Lonchura striata: one gene and its partner. The protein of the gene in region 1 interacts with the protein of each later gene in a pairwise test. Links are inferred from orthologs where the notes say so. Each region holds a gene or a part of one and is shown on either strand. Other genes may lie near its edges.

Region 1 (7,944 bases):
GTAAAGCATTGGGTTGTAAAACACTGACTGCCCAGGCAAGTGGTGGAGTCACAACCCTTTCAAGTGTTCAGAACACACACGCATATGGCATCTGAAGGCACGGTTTAATGGTGAACATGGTAGTGGTGCCGGGTTGACGGCTGGACTTGATGATCTTAAAAGTCTCTTCCAACCTTAACAACTGCATGATTCTATGACTGTGTGTTACCAAATCACTAATATGCAACACAGGAATGGGATGGTTTAGGGCAAAAGGTCCCAGTTTGGCTGTGTTTAGCTCTTAGACCAAGTAGTATTTTTCCTAGATAAGTCTCCCTATATATACACGTGAATTACATATGCATTTACATTCTGTAAGTGCAAAAGGACAGTCAAAATCTCATGGATTATAACTTTTAATAATTCTCAGAATGTTTTTGCTATAATTTTTCAAATAAAGTCTCAGTCTGACATTGTGAGAAAATCCATTTGTATTCACATCTCTAATGCCTTCCACGCAAGAAAGACAGCTCTGTGAGGGCATCTTTAATTAGCAGGAATGGGGTTTACAGAAATTTTCACAGACAAAAGCAGTTTAATTTTGTAGCATCAGGCAACAGTAAAGCAGTAGTACACTGAGTTCTTTTAAGAGCTTGATAGCTCCTCCTAAAATGTTCATAGTGAAAGGAAAAAAAGCTTAAATTATTTGCTTGACACAAGATGAAATTACCATTTCCATTTTACTTGTTCTAGGCACTGCTAAAGGTACTGAAACCTAAGGGATGACTCTCAAGGCTCAATTAGGTGCCAATGGTGTATTAAAGATACTAACCATGATTTCTCAAGGTTGGCCAGGGGAGTGCCCAGGTTCAGAAGAAATTAAAAATATCAGTGTGGTTAATTATTAAGGAACATCCTTGATAGAAAGTTAAAAACTGGGGATTGAGTTAGGTTGTCCACAAAAGCTGTGGATGCCCTATCTCTGGAAACATTCAATGTCAGGATTGATGGGGCTTGGAGCAACCTGGTCTAGTGGAACATGTCCCTGCCCATGGCAGGGGAGTTGGAAGGAGATGATCACTAAGGTCCCTTCCAACCAAACCATTCTGTGATTCTATGAAACTGAGGCTCATCTCTTAGTTGGCTTTTTGGCTGTTTGGTCAAAATTAACATGATAACAAGTTCTGCATTACAGAGCACTTCAAAGGGTATAAACCAGCAGGTAGCACACAAGCTATGGCCTTAGGGATCACATGCCAAAACCACATGAGCAATAAGTGGTGAAGGGCAGGATAATATGATGAACCAAGATTTACAACACAAAAATTGATAAAGTGGTACTTCTAAGGGCTACCTGAACAGCCTTGTTCATTGGCTTGGCTGGCTGGAATATCCCTTATTGCACGTTGCACAAAATGCAGCAGGAATCTTTTAAGGTCACCATGGTATGCTAAAGTGGGATCCATCTCTTTTAAATTCACAGCCATTTAAACCACGGGCAACTATCGCATGCCAGTCTCCTGGGCTTCCTCTATTGACAGCAAAGAATTAGCAGTGCTTTGAGAGAAAGCCAGCCTATCCAAAGGAAGGCAAGACAAATTATTCCCTCGAGATGGCCACAGAGAAAACCCAGAAGACTGCTTTAGACTAGCCAACTAACCTGAGAAAAGTTATGTGAGATGAATCCTACCGCCAATAAAACAGGTATTATTAAAATGATCCACTATTATACAGAGATCTGAGAAAAGCAGTTTCAGACCTTATGGACACACACTCTGCTCTGTGAGTTTACCATCAGCAAAGCCAATGAAGCTACATAATTTCACATCAAAAATAAATTAAAAGCAGAGATTCGCAAGACCACTGACTCACTGTGGCTTAAGACAGTGTTTAAAGTCAGCTGATTTTGATTAAGACTTGCAACCAAGAGAACTAATCCATATAGCCTTATTTGGAATCACATATTACTTACAATGACAGCCGTGATCTATTTAATAGATAGTAAGTACTACTGTGAGGTAGTTCCATCCTCCTTCCTACTCCCAACTCACCACCATTATTTATGTGGGTATAAGTATTCTTTTTTTACATCTGTGAAACCAAGAGAAGAATTCGATCTCTAGAGCAAAACAGCACAGAGGGAGAAGCCAATTAGAAAGCATACACAAAGAATGGAAAGATACTGGGCCAAGAAACTTAATCTGCAATCAACTTGAACAAATTATTTATGGTTGCATATCAGCCAGTGATGAATCTGGCCTATTATATAGCTACATTTGTATGTTAGAAATCACATTATCTTAAAAGAAAAAAAAAAAAAAAAAAAACAAAAAACAAAACACAAAAACCTTACGGAATTATAATGCCAAGGAAGAGTAGAACACTGCGAATTGGCTCACGAAAGCCAAGCGCCAAGGAGAGGTGACTGCCACCCGGGCTGCACATCAGCCCTCGCCAGCATCCCACGCTGGACCGGGAGGCGGCGGCTCCTTGCCGGGGGATGCCGGCACGAACGGTCGGTGGCCCCGGCGAGGCCGGGCTCGCCACCGGGGAAAGTTTGGGCTCCCCGCCGGGCGCTGGCGCTGACCCCGCGCTCGGGCCGTGCAGCTGTCAGCGGATGCCACAGGAACCCCGGCCCCCTCGCCGCCGCTGCCGCCGCCGCGACCCCGGGCGGGCGCCTGGCCGCGCTCCGCCTCTCCCGCACCGGGGGTTCGTGCCCGCGGCGCTGCGGGGGCGGCCGTGCCTCCCTCCCGCCCGCCCGCTCCCCGCGCTCCCCGCGCTCCCCGCTCCGCCGCCGGCGGGGACGCGGCTCCCTCGCTCCCGGAGCCCCGCGGTGTCCGGCCGGACCCTCCGTCCCCGCGCTGCGGGGCTGCCCCCGGCACGGCTTCGTACCGTCTCCCGGAGAGATGGTCTCGATCTCCACCCCCATGGCGGCACCGGCTCCACTCAGCCCCGCTCCCCGGCGCGGCCGGACCCCCAGTGCGGGCAGTGCCCCTGGGCGGCCGCGGGCAGGGGCCGCCCCGGCTGCCCGTCAGCGCCCGCAGCCAATGCGGGGCAGGGGCGGGGAGGACGGGGAGGGGAGGGGAGGGGTCCGCCCGCCCCCGCTCCGAGCGCCCGGGGGCCGCGGGGACCAGGGGAACCTTGCGGCGGGGGCATCCCCCGCCGGCATCGCTCCCCCGCCCCACGGCCGTGCGGAGGGTGCTGCTGCCATCCCTCGGGCAGGGCTGGCTTTAGCGATGGTGCCCGGCGGAGCGCTCCTCCGGGGGTCTCGCCGGCGTTTCCCCCCGGTGCCCGTGCCCGTGCGCAGTCCGAGCGGCGGAGGGCTCAGGGCGGCTGCGGGAGCAGGGGGTACCGGTGCGGTACTGCTGCAGGCGCGCTGGCCACACAGGGAAACCAAGCGCCGTGCTTCAGCCCGTCCAGACACCAGGACACGGCCGAGTGCGAGTGGAGGGTCGGAATTTCCCGGTACAAAGAGCCATGGAGGAAGGCATCCGTGCTCGCACGACGTGTGCGCTGAAGGGAATGTCCCCCCGGTTCTACCGGTGAACGGCAGCATCGGGGCAGTGGTACCCACCGCTGGTGACCCCACACAGCAGCAGCAGCGGCAAGTCTCCAGCAGGCTGGCATGACCTTGAGTTTCAGTGTAAAACAGTGTCTAAGTTCCTATTCATATCCATGTTTTAAACTGGAAAATCTATTTATGTGTGGTGTTCCCATGATGTAAGATTACATATTCAACCTTGCTACAACTACTTCTGGGGAATGTACCTGAAACAGACTATTTCCTCATGCACTTACAGTGTATTCGAATCTCAGGAGTTTCCACTGCCTCTAAAGGAATAGTTCTGTTTGCAGTTCTGTGTTTTCTGAGTTAAAAATAAAAATGGAACCACAACGTCATCAGTTTTTCAACTGAAAGAGCTGTCTGTATCCATCTAATTCCAACTTGCACTTCTCTGACATTGCTTTTTCAAGATTTTTATCTGCTACAAACTGGGTTCTCTTCAGGGAAAAGGATCTTTCTCTGTGTGGGCAGTTGTCAGGATGACTGAACTGAGGAATTACTGTGCTGGTTCGTAACTGCAATAATGTGGCCCTTGCTCTTGCATGCATGCTCTGAACTACACTGACCATCTCCACACAGCTTTTCACATTACTCTGATCAGACTGTTTCTTCTCCTGGGTGCTCAATTGTATCTATCTTTCTTTGTGGGTCAGATACTCTGAAATACCAGGACTGGCTGCCTCTCACTCCCAAAAATGGGCAGGTGAGGAAAATCAAGAGCTCACGCGAGTTCAGAAGCAGTAATGAGGGCTGAACATGGATTCCTTTCACCTGCCTCCCATTCCAGTGAATTCTGCATCTGCAGGTAGCATGTACAGAATAAGCAGGCACTTACTGAAGTTTATCAGAGGAGGTCTGTAACAGTGGAAATTCTGAAACGGGATTCTTTTCCATTGCCAGTCTCAGAGTGTCATTTGACTTCTGATCAGTAGAAAGATACTAAAAATGCATTTGAGAAATAGGAAAATGCCAGGTAGGAGGTAAGTGGCACAGAAACATGTGTCTTAACACATGAACATTGCTAATTCCAGAGGTGCCTCTGAGTCATTACAAAGCAACAAGGACAGCACAAGAAAAGCTGAGCACATAAGGGGAGTTATAAAGGGAAATTCTAGGTACATGGTGTCTTACACCCCCTCTTGACTTTACAAGAAAGAACTGCTTTCATCCAGGCTCCAGGTAGATGTCTGTGTCCTCTCAGATGATCAGAGCATCAGAAGGCATAAATGCAATGAACAAAAGAAAATGATTCTTTGCTGTGTTCACTTTAGCTTTTATAATTGCATGTTTCCTTTGATCAGGCTACACATCTCTCCACAATGGGAGAATAGGTTTCTCAAGTTGTGTCTTGTGACAGGAGATTGGACCTAATCACATAATAGACATAGTTCAGATGGGATCACAGAATATCTCCTTCAAGTTTCATCATAAGTACCAGGCCTTAAAGGCAGATCACAGAATACTCAGGCAGACTGACAATCATAATAAAAAAGCAAAGGCCACCAACAGCAAAATTCAGAAGCCACAAAATGGGATTAGGAGGGACCAAGCTGTGGAAAATGTTGTATCTACAATCTTCCTATCCGATAGCCTCTTGCCCCATGGTGAGACTGTAAATGCTTCTTTAGGGCATGAGTTAATTAGATCCCCCACACTCATTTTCCCAAGACTATGGAAAGAAAGGTAAGGCCAATTTCCAAGACAGAAAATAAGGATCTGTAGAAAGCATATCAAAGTTGTTGGATGAATATGTTAAAAAATCTTTGACACCACAGATATTGAACCAAAAATAAAGTTATTTTTCCCCTCACAGTATTCACTGGAGGCATCGAGATCCTTAAATACATGCTATAACAAGTCTATAGCACATGAAGATCTAGGAAGAGTAGACTAAAATGAGGAATGCCCACATCTTCAGGAAAGGCTCTGAAATACAAGAAAATGTGGTTTAAAACTGGCAGGGAATTGGAGGGGAAACAGAAAGGACAAAGGGACTAAGAGGGAAAGTTCATGACCAAGAAAATTGATAAAATCAGATTATCAAAGCAGACCAGATTAGTGTATTAAGAATGCTCTTTGAAAGTCATTGCATGTCATTCACCTGCACCACCTTTGGGATCCAGTGTATCTGTTTCAAGGGCTAAGTCCAGTAGTCTCTCTCTCCAAAGCTCTGTAGAGCTCACGTTCCAAGTTGTTTACCACAAGACCTTCCCACAGCATGTTTTTCTATCCTGGCACCAGAAAGACCAGGCTGGAAAAGTGGAGGGCTCTCTCAACACTTATTCCCAAATATTTTGATAGAACCACATGACTTCAACATCTAAGATTACTCAGTGGTCACAAAGAGGACAATTTGCCACAGTCATTATGAGAAAAACCCAAAACCTCAAAGTTTAGCAGATGAATATCCATCCCTGTTTTTTTTGTTTTTTTGTTTTTTTTTTTTTGTAGTTAAAACCCCTACAGCCAGCACTGTTTACAAAATATTTATGCATTTCCACTTTTAGGAAGACAAACAGTTTTCAAATTTTTTAGGGTGTTTTAACGTTGTTCATAGCTCCTATATTGTGAAATCCCATTCTTCATTGTTTTTAAAATCTACAAAGCATCTACAAATCATGTGTAATAGATTCCATATGCACACAAAGAACACCCCTGGAAGGCAAAGCACTAAATTTTCCATAAATGGAAAGCACAAATTCTGCAAATGTAAAAATTCACAGAGGCCACAAAACACCCCCAAGAATGCACATTTCCCTCACCAGCATCCATGGATAAAAAGCCAGCATTGCTTTGAAATCCAACCAGTGTGATATGAATAGTGAAAACAAACTAAAAATGTGTTACCAATACTGACCTTTCCATTCAGTGAACCAACATGTGCAACCAAGTAATTTTAATCCCAAAGTGTACAGGTCATGCAAAAACAGCACCTCACTGGAAAAAATCCTGACCAAAAAAATAGCAGCCTGCAGAGCTCAGCAGGTCATGTCACTGCGAATGTTCCTGTGCATCATGAGCATTGACAAAAGAGAGTCAGCCAGAATCCATGATTCCTCTCAAAGCACATGCTTAGGGTAAGTCTGACAGCACACCCACAGTGACAGCCATGTGATTAACAGATGAAACCCAAAAATCTCATTGTGCCTGTCTCACTTCTCACCACTGCTGGTTACCACAGGTCTGCAGCACAGTCACCTCCTCCCAACTGATACTTGTTCCAAATGCCCCAAAATGGAATAACATTTCCTCCTGAAGTGATTATTCTGAATCCTCATCTTCCTCTTTGAACTACTTATCCACATCTGTATCTATAGTTTCATCTTGCAGGTGTAGCTCTGAGTGCAAACTGCAGCTGGATTTTTTCAGTAGCACTAAAACTGCCTTGAAAGCCACCACCTCTCTCACCAAGCTCTTCTCAACTCAGATGTTCACATATTCTCTCACAACACTTATATGTGAGTCATTATTAAGGTCTCAGACCTGATCTTCAAAGCCTTTTACAGGACCAGGTGAGGTAACCTCAGGTATGCACAGGGAAGACTCCAGCTCATCAGGATATATGCCAGCAGCTACTAGAGTCAAGAAATTGCTAGTTAAGTTCTGGAATGGAAGTAAAAATTCCACTAGACCAACATCTTAATAATGAAGCTTGCTTCCAGAAGAGATTAATGCAATCACTTCCAAAACCACATGAATTTAGACAGACTCATAGTCTCACATACTTGTCTCCCCAGTACAAGGACATACTGCAGCAAGCCCAGCCATTCCAATGTTTTTAGTGGTTGGAGAACATGGAGAGAAGGAGGGAGCTGGTTTTGGGAAGCTCTGTCTTCTTCAGCCTGCAGAAGACAGAGAGAAGAAGGATCTCAGTTACTGTCTACAACTGTCGAACAGGTGGTGGAGAGGATGGTATCACACTCTGCTCAGAGATGCCCAACAAAAGGACAAGAAGCAATGGACACAAGTCATAGCAAGGGCAATTCTGAGTATATATGGATAAAAAAATCTTCAGAAGATGAGTTATCAAACAAGGCCTAAAGGAACCAGAACAAACTGATGTCAGCTGTGTTCCAAGCAAGAAATTGAACCATATGGCCTTCAAAGATCCCTTCCCCTAAACTGATGTATGAGTCTGTAATATTTTTCATGCAACATGGAGAAGGAAATGAAAAAATGGTAGTGAGGTTAACCACAATTCCAACATTGACTGCAGGATCTTAAATCAACTTGCAATGCATAATGCTTCAAAGTGGTTAATACACTAGCTAGCACCTCAGATGCAATATAAATATGAAATTGCAACATCCATCCAGACTAATTAGCACACATGCAGATTGCTGCAGTGATATCGCTTCACTGCCTACTCCTTTGAAGGCAGCTTGCTGAATTGAAATTAT
Region 2 (7,744 bases), about 61 Mb from region 1:
AAGTGTGAAATGGATGTATCTTTGTATACATTAGAGTCATATAGTACATGTATATAGTTACATAATGACATAACCCGTTGCAAGACTGAGAAAACCAGGAAATTCTATTTTAAGGATGCAATTTAATGTGCTCTTTTAATTTAAACCAACATTTTTTAGAAACATGTTATTGCCCTCCAAAATGACCAAAAGGCAAAAAAAGCCACCTTCAAAAACCCACTTCTGGTTTGGTGCCTCCCCACAGCTTCCAGGGAATTTATCAGAGTACATCAGAAAAAGATTAGAAGAGCAATAAAAACCTCAAAGGATGCAGGAACATGAAAACACAAGCAAACTATTTTTCCCCAAAAGATAACCTACAAGATCCATACCTCCTCTTTAATCTTAATAATCACCCTCCCTTCTTCCCCTGCCCCCGCCCCGACCCCCCCGATATCAAATAACAAAAAATAAGTTAAAAGCTTTGAACTTTGCCAGGAAGAATGCTTCATAATAGCTGCAGAACAGAAGTTTCTATAAAAGGATAAGCTTGGTTGTCTAAATTTTATTATAACACTGTATCCTGTGTAAAATTGTGCATACAGGCTATTTATAGAGTACAAAACATGTACCTAATGACAGACATGTAATTAACACTTATACTGTACTTTATGGGTTCAGACTAAACACTAACTGAAGAAAATGCAGTATATTATTGAACTCCAGGGTTATCATGACAAGCATATAACTATGTGATCTTAGACATAATTACTCTCACTTAAACTCTGCTAATCTGCAGTAAAATATTTTAAATTTTGTGCAGAATTGGGTCTACTAATTTTATTCTTTCCAAGTCACATTTGGGATCTAAACTGGCATAGATTTTACATTGACTCAGTTTCATTGATCACAGGGTGTTGATTTATGACATGTGATAGGAGATGCAATCTTTCTAGTTTTGCAGTATTTGGAATAACATGTTTGCAAGATTTATATTTGGCTGAAAAGTCTGACAAGACTGTAGAAAGAGCTGTAAGAAAGAGCAGCACCAGGAAGAAAGGATAGTATCTGCCCCTTTAAATTGCTATTGGCATTATCTTATTCTGTTCTTCCAAGAAGAAAAAAGAGTGTGGTAGTATAGTCTGCTATAAAAAACAAATAAACACCTGGGAGTTCCCCTCATGTTACTGAAAACTGAATGTTCACAATACTTATTATTACAAACAGCAAACATTGTTTGTTTTGCATAGAATATTACTTTGAGTTGTGCACACAAAATTACCTATGAACCTTCTTCTAATATTTAATTTAGATCATTAAAATTTATGAAATGAAAGTGCTAAAATTCTTAGTGTAAATTTATGTTCAGTTCAGAATCCTGCTGTGATACCTCAGAAGCGCTGTCATGCTGGTGCTGCTGTACTGCCTCTGCATCACACAAAGAAACCTGGGTTTTTTTGTGAAAATTGCTAAGGGCATATTATGGATCTTCACAGTGCTGCTGCCTTGATAATTGAGGCTTGCAGGAGCAAGAAGGCCTTGCTGAGCAAAGGCAAAATGCACTAAGTATCTGTCGTAGTAACAATTACAAACGGGCATGGACATGTGCAGATTTCAAGTGAGATTTTAAGAAGAACATAACAAGAATGGGACCACAAAAAGTCTACAGTAAGAAGCAGGTTTATTAGGTGGGAGAACTGGACCAAAAATTTGAAAGGCTGCTTCTAGATTGGGTGAAAAAGAAGTAGACATAGTACATGCATGTCATGCAAGACAACTGGATGGCTTACAAAACATAAACTAGAGCTGAAAGGGAATGCTAATTTTCTTGTGAAAACTTTTTGTTAAGCTCCAGAGGTTGTGTTCAAGCCTTTAAATTCATAAACTAGTACAGGATTCTTTTGACAGAAGTAGAAACTTTTGTTCTGCATTTTTTCTGTGGAAAGCACAGTTATCAGTGATAAAAATCGCCAGACTTATGGAAAACAGGGGGCGTGATGAGATGTAATAGAGACTAAAGTAACAGTGGGGAACTCAAAGTGAATTGCTATGGGGTTTACTGGCGTCTTGAACCTTGGGACTGCCACTCCTAGAGCAGGGACCCCTGTTCTTCCACACCCACACAAAATATTCAATTCTTCTGAATTCCACCTGTAAATATCAGCCATGGAGAGTGTTTATTTTTTCCACATTTCCCACTAGTTCATTGAAGAAATAATTCTGTGAACTTTATATTACTTCCTGTTATGATAGAAATGATAATGTTTTTCCATTTTTAACCATTATTTTCCATTGTTTTAACCAATCAGTTGCTTTTAATTATTCAATGCAGTTAAACATAACTTCTGAGAAATACATCACATCAGCTAAAATGCTGGAACTATATTTAATATGTATTTTTGCACATGTGTACTGCACATATGAATATTTGTCCTTGATGACTAATTTAACAAGAAGCTTCCATCTACATTATGCCTTATCACCCTGTTCAGGAAGTTTCTGGAGGAATCTTTACTACTTTTAAACTTTGTTTCCTAAGCAAATTATCTAATATGGTGCATGTGTCTCTGCTACTGAATAATATCTTTTGAACTAAGTGGAAAATTCCAACAATTTCACGGAAGGTTAATAGTATCATACATGCTCCTAGCCATTTCATTAGAACAGATGCATGGGTAAAGAAGATACCAGATAACAGTCTTTGGTGTCTGAAAAACTGCAGCATACATTTCACTCATATTAGACACCAAAAAAACTGTGTGTTAGAGAAATATTACTGCCCTAGCATGGAGAAGATTAATGTGAAGTTGTTGTCTTTGTAAACACCAAGGAGTCTAATTATGAGCTCCAAATCTATAAGAAACCAGGTATGATCAGTTCAACTGTTCTTGGAATGATTTCCAAGATGACATAATGTGCTGAAAACTACAAAATGTTTCAGGCACGGATGTTATATTGAACTAATTACAATTTTTTTTCTTTCCTTTCTCTATAATGTCCTTGCTTTACATGCAGCAAACAAAAAAGGCATTTAATCTGATACTCATATTCATAGCCTTATGGAGAGTACCCTGGATGTTCTATGATCCAGACCTTTGACCAGGTGAACTGAGATTTCCAACCATATGAAATACATTGACAAATAGTTGTGCTGGAACTGACTTGTGTGCTGAGCAGGAGAAAGAGATAGGATAGTATGATAAAAGATAATTTGTTCAGTGCCTTTTCATGAAATCTAATTTTTTAAACTTATCCAAATTCAGGACTTCATAATTGGGGTCTATTTCAATAAATATCTCTCAGTCTAAATAATTTAGAGAAGAGATACTTAAGAGGTTTGAGTTAAATATGAATAAACAACATCAAAAAATGTCTTTATAATTCTTAAAAAAAATATACTTTCAGTCAGTAGTAGTCTTGAGAGGTAAAAGTCACTTGAAGTCAGTAGTAACTGAAACCAGGATATTACAGAGGAAATGCTTAAGCTGTCATAACTCTGGAGTTCATCTTCAGAATCTCTATATTAAACATTCATACATTACTTGCTCTAGAGGTCTTATGGGTCATGACTGCTCTTGCAGTTTCCAATCTGTCAGATGAACACGTTTTCCATTGTTGGAAATAATGATAAAATCTCAGAGTGCCACGCTTTTTCACGATGTCCTTGAACAGCATAAAGTTACAGATTATGGGTATAGCTTCTCTAGAAGCACTTTCCATGTATTTTGCAATGCTAGTCATACAGTCTGTTTACCAAAATAATTGAGATTTCATTACGTTTACCAGTTTTGGTCCTTCGGAAGCCTTCTGCAGTTGTACATCTCGCACACATTTTACTCTGTCAATGATCCAGTGTTAATTTTACTCTTTTTTGAGATACCCTGTTGTCCTCCCCTCATGACTATTGCATTGCACTAGCAGAGGCTCTCTGCTATACGCTTGTTTCAGAGTGCTGTTGCTGTTAGGAGTCTGGTGGCTCTCTGGCTTGTCAGACTTCTTTCTGTAGGCCAAGCATCATGTCTCTGATGGACATAGGTGTCCTCTTAAAAGTATGATCTACACGAATGCTCATGAAAGATGAGCCATTCCCTGGCAACCCTTGACTTCACCCTATGGAAAACGCATGGTATATATTCTTCAAGGAAATTAGATTTCAAAGCCTTACATTCACCCTGGGTTAAGCTCATTCACGCGACGGTTCAAGTACAACACCGGGTGAAGCCATGTTGTACCTTCCATCTCTTCTCCCCGACAGTAGTCGGCTGACAAAATAACCGGCGCAGAGCCGTTCAGCTCTCGCTCTCCCGAGGTATCCCTCAGTGCAGCACGTCACGCCTAACTCCTGCGGGACAGCCGTGCCCGGCAGCCAGGGCGCCGAGCGGCCGCCCTGGAGACTCCGGAGGGGCGGAGGCAGCCCCAGGCTGTGCCGTGCGAGGTGAACGGGCACGGCGGCTGGGGCAGCGGCCCCGGGCGGGCGGCAGCCGCCTCCCGGCGGAGCTCCGGCAAGGGGCGCTGGGCGGCGCCTTTGGAGTGCGGAGGGAGCGGGCTGCGGATCACCTGCAGCGGCGGGGGGGCCGGAGCTCCGCCTCCCCTCCTCCCCCGGTTAATCGCATCCCCCTCCCCGCGGCAGGCACAGGCAGCCGGGCAGCGCTGTCGACCTGCGGCAGGCGCACGGGCACCCGCACCCCGCTCGCAGCCGGGGCCGGGCTGGGGCCGCCGGCTCTGCCGCCCTCGCACTGCCCCAGCCCGGTGCGGCGCGGCCGTGACCCTCCTGCCGCCGCCAGCCCGCGGGGAGCGACCGCCGCTGCCGCCCGTCCGGGCACCGGGAGCAGCGCCCGGCAGAAGGAGAGACAGGGGCAGCCATGGCCGAGGGGGGCGAGGGCGAGGACGAGATCCAGTTCCTGCGAACTGTAAGCGCCGCGCTTGCCTCCCTCCCCTCCGCGCTGTGGCGGGGCTCCGGGCGGGCCGGGGGCTGCGGGGGCGACGCCCGGACCGGCTGGGGTGGGAGCCGGGCGGGGGCAGCTCGGAGCGGCTCCGCAGCCCCGAGCCCGTCCCTCTCCGCCGGCGGCGTGTGGCTCCGCAGCCGGGCGGGGGCCGAGGGCTGCGCTGGCCCCCGGGATGAGCGGCAGGGCGGGCGGCCGGGGGCGCCGGGCACGGTGAGGGGCGGCGGGCGGGCGGGGGCGAGCGGCGCCTCCCCAGCAGCACCGCTCCGCGCTGCCGCCCCGGCCGCGGGCGGTGCGCTGCTGCGGATACTGACCGAGCAGCCGTCCCCAGCGCGAAAACTGCGATCGCACTCCCTTTGCAAAAATTGGCTTGTGGAAAAAACCCACCTCTCTCACCCTGTCCCCTCCCCGCGGAGGTTCCCACTAACTTGCAGGCGTTCTCCTCGCCGGGCACAGACTAATACGGCTTTTTCTGGCGTGCGCATCCTTTCGTTACTTCTGTCCAGGGCATGTTAAGGCGCTAGAGCGCTTCTTCCTTCCGTTTAATTAATGCATCGGGACTGCTGCATCTAATGCTTATCTGGATTATATTTCTTCAAGCAGTGATTTTATTTATCTTCTCGGCCATCTCCCGAGTGCCGTTTATATGCACAATCCTAGCAAGTTTTGCAGATAGGCATCTGCATCTAGAATGGTGGTGGATACAAACCGTGCCACAGTTTGAGGAAAAATTGCTGAGACATTTGTTAAGTAGAGCTGGAAGCACTGAGACTGTAGGATAAAGCTTAACTTCCCTTTTATTTAGTGCTGTCTGATTTAGAAAACGTTCACGTTCAATGGCTTGTAAGAAAATACATCTACAAGGGGGTGGAAAGAAAGCGACATAGTATATGTGAAACATATTCATATGCTGTTTGCAGCATTAAGAATCCTGGTTCTCAGTTGTCTTCCATTTCTATCAGAAACCGCACAATAATAGATGTGTACCTTAACATTATTTTAAAAAATTTTTGAAGAGTCTTAGAAAATCTGCTTTTACAGAAAATACAGCTGTTACGCAACGTTGTCATGAAGATCGACAACTTTTTTTTCCTGTCAGCATTATGTGACTGGTATTGTAGTGTTGCCTAACACCTAAAAACAAAACAGAAAAATATTTCTGTGAAAGAAAATTTGTCGTCTCGATTCATGAGAGGTTTTTTTTTTTTTATTAATAGTTTTCACTGGTAAAAAAATTTTGGAAGAGTTGTACCATGGCAGCCTTTCTGCAGACATGAATGTTAAGCTTAGTTCATGTTATCTGAATGCTTAATAGGGAAGGAGAAGCACTGAGCATGCTAATACAGCTCAGCAGATCTACAGTGATGTTAACTCCAGCACCTGACAGCAGCAGCATGTTATGTAAAACAGCACTCCTGATAATGTGTGAGGCTTGATACAAATTTGGCAAACCCAGTCTTAGATAATACTTGAAAATGTTTAGAATGTTGCACCAGTGGTAAAATGACCTTGAATGTGGTAAACTGAAGCTTTGGGGAGGCATGTGGTGTGGTTTAATCAAAAGGGCCTGAGAAACCTGTTTCATGTGAAGTTTTGGGTTTATAATCTGAAATGGTATGTAAGCAGTGATTTTTACTCTTCTCTTCCTTCCACTTTGTCCAAGTTATGAGCATTACTTGGAAAAGCCAGTGCTTTCAGACTTTTTTTTTTTGATGTAGTCTTCCACCTCTCAATTGTTAGAAGGCTTTGATTTGTGGTCTCTAAAGCTATTAGATGTGTGTAACTTTCTGAAGGCCGTTGGTAGAAAGCACTGGAAATTTGATATTACCCTGGTAATTATTACAGTTTTTATTTATTTTTAAAATACTAATTAGGGGTAGATGGATTCATAAATGTTTTGTAGATAAACAAGAGCTTTTCAAAGAACACTGTATGTAAGCAAAAAGCATTCTGTGCTTTCAATACTTTGAGGATGACATCTGTAGGCCTACTACATGTAAACAATGCTCTTCATATTTTCTTCTTTTGGTAGGACCTGATAAACTTCCTAGAATCTTTAGAGTCTACCCTGGAATGTAAACACTATTTTTTTAATGTTTAGAATTGCACATGAGATTTTATTCAATTAAAAATGCCCTTTATTTGCATGGAGCTACTAAGTTGAATTTGTATTTTTGCTACATGTTGATTGGAAATTTTGATTTTTCTCTTCTCTTCACACATTCTTATCTGTCTAATGATTCCTCTTCTTTACTTGCTGCTATTTTTTTCCCCCTGGTTTGGTTTTGTTTTGGTAAAGTGGAATTAAGCATTACTTCCTGCAAATTCTGCTGCTAGGATGGATTTCTGTTTCTTTTGGGAATAATTTGAGATTGATACATCGCTTCTGAGATGTGAACACAGCCTCTTAATGCCCTGTATTTCTGGAAGCATCAGAGCATTGTTTGGGACAACTTTAGACAGACTGGAGCTCATCTCTGTGCTGTTCAGTTCTTCTCAAGGAACTCTTCTGTAGTCCTGTGAATTACTTGCTTCTCTGGAATCGGGGATCTTCCTCATTAGTTTGCCAAATGCTCCAGGTGGAGAGGAACTTGTATTATGTGTGGCCTTATTTAGGACATACATTCTCTTGACTTCTCCCATGGAATAAACCCGTACTGTGCAGGAGAAGTGAAGGGGAACAAGTATCCTGCTGTGTGTGTATTAGTTATGTGTCCAGGCAGGACCTCCTCCCTGTAGGGGAATTTGTTTTTTATTTTATAATACTAGAAAGATCAAGGATATGTGTAACATAGATTTCACTGTTTAGTCTTTACAGTCTA

Evidence for each region.
Region 2: the proteins of FKBP1B (region 1) and RYR2 interact in binary tests that used the Homo sapiens proteins (3 or more experiments, as listed by UniProt). The link is inferred for Lonchura striata from reciprocal best matches to the Homo sapiens genes FKBP1B and RYR2.

The regions. Positions count from the first base shown.
Region 1 is NC_134605.1:106,842,383-106,850,326, reverse strand, and holds the start of FKBP1B (peptidyl-prolyl cis-trans isomerase FKBP1B), read right to left. Parts: upstream 3,007-7,944; 5' UTR 2,909-3,006; coding exon 2,872-2,908; intron 1-2,871. UniProt on the Homo sapiens protein: Has the potential to contribute to the immunosuppressive and toxic effects of FK506 and rapamycin. PPIases accelerate the folding of proteins. It catalyzes the cis-trans isomerization of proline imidic peptide bonds in oligopeptides.
Region 2 is NC_134605.1:45,947,422-45,955,165, forward strand, and holds the start of RYR2 (ryanodine receptor 2), read left to right. Parts: upstream 1-4,728; 5' UTR 4,729-4,841; coding exon 4,842-4,889; intron 4,890-7,744. UniProt on the Homo sapiens protein: Cytosolic calcium-activated calcium channel that mediates the release of Ca(2+) from the sarcoplasmic reticulum into the cytosol and thereby plays a key role in triggering cardiac muscle contraction. Aberrant channel activation can lead to cardiac arrhythmia.